2 linked regions of the Callithrix jacchus genome follow. The protein of the gene in region 2 purifies or fractionates together with the protein of the main gene of each other region. This does not show direct contact. Links are inferred from orthologs where the notes say so. Each region holds a gene or a part of one and is shown on either strand. Other genes may lie near its edges. The genes, in order: PHGDH and EPN1.

Region 1 (3,804 bases), on a different chromosome or scaffold from region 2:
CAGACTGCAGCGCCCGGAGCAGGGCGCCTTCATCCACGATCCCTCCACGGGCGCAGTTCACCACACGTACCCCCTTCTTGCACTGGGCAAAGGTGCCGTCGTTCAATAAGCCTGGAAGAAAACGAAGCATCTTCCTGCTGGGGCAGCACTGGGATCCCCACGCTCATCCCTGGCTCCCAGAGCCCCTCTCCTGCTAGACGGCAGCCTCCTCGATCTCATCTCTTCCTCCGCGGACGCACTGGGGCAGCAGTCCCTGTTATGCGTCTGGGCCAGACTCAGCTTAGAAACGCCTTAGAAATTCTTGAGATCTTACTGTTTCAAGTGGGTCTGGGAATCAGAAAGCCCTGCAGGGGCTGCAGGAAGCATCCATGGAGTCATGGTTGTCCCTGTGGCCAGTTCACCTAGGCCCCAAGCACTTCCAGCTGGCTTACCCCCCTGCATCCAATGCAGGGGCATCTAACAAAGCACCAGGCTCTGCAGGACCAGGGTGCCCCTCCCCACAGCCGGTTACCAGCGCCTGCAGAAGGCCCAGGTGGAGGGCCCATTTGTTAACTGGTCTGTGGCTTCTGTGCCAACCCACGATGTAAGGATGCACCTACCTGTGGTGGAGGGCAGGAGAGGAGTGTGCACAGTGATGAAATCACAGAGAGGCCAGATCTCCTCCAGGGGCAGCTGTTGAACACCAAAGGAGGCCGAGATCTCTGGGGAAATGATGGGGTCATACCCGATCGTCTGGTCAGAAGACAGAGAGAGGGAGGAAGTGTCATTCTTAATTATGAGTATTGTTATTTTTAAGAATAGCAAACATTTTGTGAGCATTTTCCATATACTCGGTACCATGCTCAGCTTAATTAATTCTCCGGTTTGATTCTGATGATAGCACAAAGGTGCTGGGATGGTGGCCTGTCTGCTTGAGAGCTGAGGGAAGCAGGGCTTCTAAAATGAGGAGGGGCACGGCCAGAGCTCAGAGGAACGTGTGTGTGCCTCCGTGCTCTGACCCCACACAGATGCCACAGTAGCTCACGTGTGTCTGGACCAGGTGGAGCTTGGGAGCCCTCAGAAAGCAGCCAGGGCGGGCAGTCACATGGGGAGCAGACAGCTGGGAAAGGGAGGAGAAATGGGAGCTACAGCTGGAAGGTCCAGTCCAGAAAACAGACAGGTGCACCAGGTACTAAAACAGAGTGAGCAGAAGCGAAGGAGGAGGGCAACAGGGGTGCAAGGCAGGACCCGGAGCAGGAGCAACAGCACGTGCCCTCTCAACCAGGAGGCCTGACCCGCAGCCTCCCGCAGTCACTGCCCACTGCGTCCCCCTGAACCTGGGTCCTGAACCCTAAATAAAGGAGGAAGGCAGGTAACTGCAGTCATCTGTCACTGTCACATTCAATCACTGGGAATTATTTGAAGAGAAATTCCCCTTAATCCAGAGGGAGAATATAAGGACTTGATTAAAAACAGAAGACACAGCACAGTACTTTCACAGCCGCTGTCCCTGGGTGGTGGAATTATTTTTCTCCTTTACTTTCTGTGCTTCCAAGTTCTCCACTACATATTCATAAATTACTTTTGAAATTAGGGATACAGAATAGATACTTTAGGACATAATGGCAAAGCTGGGTGCCATGGCTCACGCCTATAATCCCAGCACTTTGGGAGGCTGAGGCAGGAGAATCACTTGACCCCAGTAGTTGGAGACTAGCTGGGGCAATATAGTAAGACCCTTCCTCTACAAAGTATTAAGTAATTAGCTGAGTGTGGTGGCACGCACCTGTGTCACTCAGGAGGCTGAGCCAGGAGAGTCACTTGGACCTCGGAGGTTGAGGCTGTAGCCTGGGTGACAGACCAAGACCCTGTCTCAGAAAAAATAGAAAAGAACATAGTAGGGAAGAGGACTTCAAATTCAGTACTTCTAGGGCAGAAGCTGAACATAGTTACGAGTAAGGTGAAGCCTCTGGATCGCGTTTTTCATCTTTAGCCTTGTGGAACAAGGAAAGCCAAGTGGTCCCACACTAATGATCAGGCAGGTTTTGGGGAAAGATACTGCCACCCCCATGCCCTGTAAGAACTGCCAGCTCAGAATGCACGTGGTCTTTTTCAGACACTGCTGCTCCCCTTGGCTCTAAGCTATTCATTTCTTTTCTTTTTTTTTTTTTTTTTTGAGACAGAGTCTTGCTGGAGTGCGGTGGCACAATCTCAGCTCATTGCAACCTCCGCCTCCAGGGTTCAAGCAATTCTCCTGCCTCAGCCTCCTGAGTGGCTGGGATTACAGGCACACACCACCAAGCCCAGCTAATTCTTGAATTTTTTTAGTAGAGACGGATTTCACCATGTTGGCCAGGATGGTATCAATCTCTTGACCTTGTGATCCACCCGCCTCGGCCTCCCAAAGTGCCGGGATTATAGACATGAGCCACCGCGCCCGGGTAACCTACTCATTCCTGGTGGGGAGAAGAAAGTGTCCAGGGGAGGAGGCGGGGTCCCTGCCATCGTAGTCACAAGTCCTCTTTGTCTGCTGGCTCTGAGGCTGGCAGCAACAATGGCCCTGTTCATCTCTAATCCAAATGTATTTTTTTTCTCACATGGAGTGGGGAGAGGAAAGGAATACCAATAGAGATTGCAAGATCCAGACTGGCTGACATCTGTTTCCAGCTCAGGAGCCAAGAACAGCCTGGGGGCTGGCAGGAGGAGGGACCCTGCAGGCTGAGCCTGGTCCCCTCCATAGGCAGGTGCCTGGGGCTGCAGGGAGAGGGCTGGGGAGAGGGGCAGGTGAGCATCTTCCTCAGTGGTCAGCAAAGCACTGACTCAGCTTCCTTCTTTCACAGAGAGTATCTCATTTATCTGCAGATGACTGCAGGGAAGGAATCTCGCTGAGCAAACCTCTGTTCTCATTTTCCATTTGAGATAACCAGGGCAGAAAAGAGGTGAACTCAGCTAAGGGTTGGGGTTCCGACACTAGGAGACAGTGTTGAGGGGATGGAAAGGGTGACATCAGGCCCAGGACACACGTGCCTGCCAGGGTCCTGATGTGTCCTGGAAAGGGTCAGATATCCTAATACACAGAAATTGGAGCAGCTCTGAGTACTCACCATTCAAAGACTACTCCCAGAGAGAAGCCTTGGGGAGAAGCCTGAAGGGGTTCCCTCACCTCAATCGCAGCCCCAGGACAGACTCCTGATGTTGATACAACAGAGGAAGCCTCACTTTCTAAGCAGGACTCCAGGGCAGCTGGTGACTCCTAGCTGCCTGAGGTCACGGAAAGCAGCCCTGAGAGGCTGGTTGGTATGCTGGCTCATCGGAGCAAAGAGGAGAGCAAGGAGGCCTCCCAGTTAGAGAGGCTCCGAACGAGAGAGAACCTTGAAGGTCACGCCCTCTCTCTGCCCCATAGCTGAATTTTTAATTTAGCACTGGAACTCTCCCTACCCACATATGAAGACAGATCAGTTCAAAGCTGCAGAGGTGAAGGCTCAAATTGCCACCACCTGCTGTCTCCCTGGGGCCCCTCCTTGCTCCCACCTGTGTCTCTAAGGCACCTTGCCAGAACCTGAGGCTCTGAGTTTGAAAATCACTGCTCTGGGCAATAAACATTCCAGGTACCACAGAATAGGAGCTGCCTATTCTGGAGAGTGTCTGTCTTTGGAATAGCTAAGCAGCATAGTGGTCTGACACAGGGACTGTTTAACTACAGTGGATTGTGAATAGAGTCGGGTGGTATTGGGCAAAGAGTGGCAGCCTGGAAGGCTGAGCTGGATTCCACCAGTTCATAGCCACATTACCTTCAGCATATCACAGAACCTTCCCGGGTGTCAG
Region 2 (3,904 bases):
CCTTCTTCCTCACCCAGGAACGGACACTCACCACAGGGCTCTGCTAACACTTCTCAAGTCCACATCCAAACACCATGGTTGCCTTTCCCTGGAGCCTCATCAGTAAACTCAATCTCCCTGACGATTTTATATTGTCTGATTCTGTAGCTAAGGTCAACCCTCAGGCCCCCAGCAGGCAGAGATCTTGTTTGTCTAGACGTGGCTTTTCCCAGCAAAGAAGCTGGCCCAGAAAAACCATTCAGTAAACCATGCAAGGAGGACGTTGGGGGTGGGGGGCAGGTGAGACCACTGGAACAAGGGTGGAGTGGACAGGAATACACAGCAGAAGCGACACATGGGAAAGAAGGCTGATGGAAAGGATTAAAGAGAGGGGCAGGAGCTGGGAGCCAACCCAGGGTGTCAGGAACTGCGGAAGCCAGAGGACCAGACAAGGGCAGGCGAAGCCCAAGGCTCAGAAGAGATAAGGAACCTAACAGCTCCACTGCCTGGGTCCCAGCTGAGAGCCAGGCACTCACTCAGCACAAGAGAGGGACATTCCCTCTTTCAACAGTGCATGTAGAGACTGGGCTCCTGGAGGTTAAATAATTCAACCAAAGTCACACACCAGGAATGGCAGGGCAGACTCAACCCAAGGCCCACCTGAACTCCAAAACTTGTACTTTTAAATTAACCTAAATTACATTAACCCAACCCAAAACTGGTGATAAGAAACAGAAGGAGAGTCAAGCAAATGATGATTACACCAGCGGACACTTGCGAGGCTCTTATCCCGGCCAGGCCCTGCTGTAAGCGCTTTACATGTATTAAGTCAGTTAACCCTTCAAACAACCCCATGATTCACAGCCACCTCACACGGTGGAAACTGAGACACAGAGAGATTCAGCTTCTTGCCCACGGACACACACCTTACTCCTGGAGCAGCCTGGTTCCAGAGCCAGCTCTAATCACCAGTCTATGAGGCTCCAACAAGCCACAGAGGGAGGCTTACAAAGCCTTACGATGATGTAAGCCCAGGGGAGATAGGGATGACTGAGAGAGGCTGGCCTCTGCTTCCAACTCAGGCCACAGGGCCAGGCACCTGAAGACAGATGTCCCAAAGCAGCCCCAGCCCAACACATTTTGATGAAGCAATGATGTAACAAATATAGAGGAGACTGACAAGAAATGAATTTAACAAATACAGAGAAGAAGACTGACAAGAAACAGACACACCGAAACCCAGGCAGAGAGAACTACCCAGAGAGACAGTGAGAAAGACACAGACAGCAGCAGATATGAGACATGGGAAAATAGGGAGGCAGGAGGCCAAGGAGGAAAGATAGAGGCCCAGAAACAATATGACACCTGGCACTGAGAAGTAAGAGACAAAAGAATGGCATATAATGGAAAAGAACATCAACCGGGTTCAAATCCTGGCCACATCAGCTACCTGCAGCACAAACCTTGAGGTGCAGTTTGCTCCACTCTGAAATGAAAGAAGGCCTACCTGGCAGGCCTGTTGATTAAATAAGATGGGTACATACAGTGCTTGGCCGTGTGCCCCACAGATAGTAGGCGCTCAATAACACTGGCTGCTATCATCAGAGAAAAAAGCAGAGAACAGCTCCAAAAGGGTGGCAGCAGACACTGCACTGTCTTCACACTGTGGAGTGTGCAGGAGAAAAACATAGATTAGCACATCAAAGCTAAGAGTTCTTAGATACTGCTTAGAATGACTGTATTTCAAATTAAACTGATTCCGAGAATTAATAGATTAAAAAGCATACAAAGAATATGACAAAATTCCCCAAGGAATACTCCAATGACCGACCGACACCTAACGCTTCCTGTGTCAAAATCTCTAAGCACTGTAATAATAAAAACCAGAGCTCCCCGTAATTACACACTTCCTCTGTACCAGAGACGGCCCGGCACTGTAGAAGCATCACCTCAATTTACATGCACAAGGACCCTGTGGTGCAGGAACTATGAACGTCCCATTTTAAAGACTAGGCAACTGAGGTTTGGAGATACACAATAGCACATGGCAAATATCGCACGGCTTAGCAGGCAGCCCGGGCCTCTGAATCCAAGCCTGGGACTCTTCACCATCACACCAGAGACTCAGAAAACTGCAGAAAAGGGGCAGATTCTTCTAGACCAAGCAAGACTCCTGGAAAGAGACTTCAGGATCGGAGGTGATAGATACGGGGGCAAAAACAGATGCGAAGACGGGGCAGAAGAGTCCGCAGGGGAGGGCTGGGGACACCCTGGGAAACGAAGACTCGGAAACTCAGAGACAAGAACAAAATCCTGAGAGACACGGACATGACAGAGGAGAAAGAGACTCGGGACAGACACGCTCCTACGTCCAAACCCTCTTCTAAGGCCACTGGGACAGGCAGAGGCCCACGGCAAACAGACGCCGACAGACACGACAGAGAGGGAGACACGAGGGGCAGGGGGAGAGACAGACACCGACACCGACACCGACACCGACACGGGGGCAGTCAAGGCCGACCCAAGAAAAGAGACACAAAGGCCGCCAGAGACACCCAGAACCCGAGGCCCGGCCCGAGCCCGCACGCGCCGCGGACCAAGCCCGAACACCCGGAGCAAGCGGGCCGGCGTCCCCTGCGCTCACCTCGGCCCCCTCACGCTGGGCTCCGGGGGGTCATGGCGGTCAGCACCCTGCCCCGCTCGGCCTCGGTGTCGCGGAGCGTGCGCCGGGCCGCGGGCGGCGGACCAGGAGGCGGCACGGGCGCACGCACAAACGCACGGAGGGCCGCACGCCCAGGGCCCCGCCGCCCCGCCGCCCAGAAGGGGCGCGGAGAGCCGGGCGGGGGAGGGGAGCCGCCGGGAAGACGGGAAGCTACCGAAGGCGACGGACCGGAAGCGGAAATTGCCGCGCTCCCCGCCCTCCCGTGCCGCACCCGGCCCAGGCGGGAGTTACTTCCGCAGCCCAGCCAACCAGGGAGGCATCACTTCCGGCGCGCAGGTCCCCGTTACTAAGTGTTCTTTACGTCATTTTTGCCCGCCGCCGCTAGGCTCCGCACGGGACCCCGAGGCTCAGTCCCAGCTCCCTCCGCGGAATTCATGGAGTTCCTGGCGCACCCACGCCGCGCCCGCCCGGTCCCGCTCGGCCAATCCTCCCTCCTGCCGGTGGGGTGGGAGATCACTCGGGAACTTCACGCCCCACCCCCCCGAGCCGTGCCTGTGCCAACCCCCAGAAGCGCACTGCGCTAGCAGGGAAGGCCCCGGGGATGCGGATGCCGGCACCGGGGGCGTCCCGGTCAGGGGCCCGCAGTTTGCCAAGGGGACCCCCACCCGAGCCCGGAACCGAGGAAGAGGGTGGGACACACTGGACACACAGCCGCTCCATAAAGTAAAATACAACAAAATGTTTAATGAGCAAATTCGTCTTAGCAAATATGAAACTGCCACAGAGAGTAGGAGAAGGACAGAGGGACAGAGCCACGGGGCTGGGCGCAGATTGGGGAGACTAAAGAGGGAAAAATCAACTACATAAGAAATCCGGGAGGGGACCAGAGAGGACCAGAGGCCGAAGGAACAGAGCTGTGGTCCTGATAAGGGAGAGGGCAGGGCACTGAGGGCCGGACAACAGAATTCAAAGTAGTTTGGCCATAAAATATAAACACGCTATGTTCCTACTGTGGGGAAGGGGAGGAGAATGGGGTCTAAGGGAGAAGGGAGAGGCTGTTTTGGGAGGGGCTGGGGTCGTACCCCGCCCTGCTGTGCACCCTGTCCCCATCCCTACCCCTTCCCTCTGTGTCTGTGTGGGTGCATGTTGTCTTGTGGGCTGTGTGCGCACTTCCCCAGTCCCGTCCCTGCCCTAACCCCCAACCCCCGCCCCCCACCCTTAATTGCTGCCATTCCAGTTGCTGCCGGCTGCCGTGTGTTGTGC

What was found.
Region 1: the proteins of EPN1 (region 2) and PHGDH purify together in Homo sapiens (affinity purification with mass spectrometry; 3 studies listed by BioGRID and IntAct, with this or other methods). This does not show direct contact. The link is inferred for Callithrix jacchus from reciprocal best matches to the Homo sapiens genes EPN1 and PHGDH.

Annotation. Positions count from the first base shown.
Region 1 is NC_133508.1:157,957,511-157,961,314, forward strand, and holds part of PHGDH (D-3-phosphoglycerate dehydrogenase), read right to left. Parts: intron 733-3,804; coding exon 600-732; intron 112-599; coding exon 1-111. UniProt on the Homo sapiens protein: Catalyzes the reversible oxidation of 3-phospho-D-glycerate to 3-phosphonooxypyruvate, the first step of the phosphorylated L-serine biosynthesis pathway.
Region 2 is NC_133523.1:48,536,712-48,540,615, reverse strand, and holds the start of EPN1 (epsin-1), read right to left. Parts: upstream 2,877-3,904; 5' UTR 2,624-2,876; intron 1-2,623. UniProt on the Homo sapiens protein: Binds to membranes enriched in phosphatidylinositol 4,5-bisphosphate (PtdIns(4,5)P2). Modifies membrane curvature and facilitates the formation of clathrin-coated invaginations. Regulates receptor-mediated endocytosis.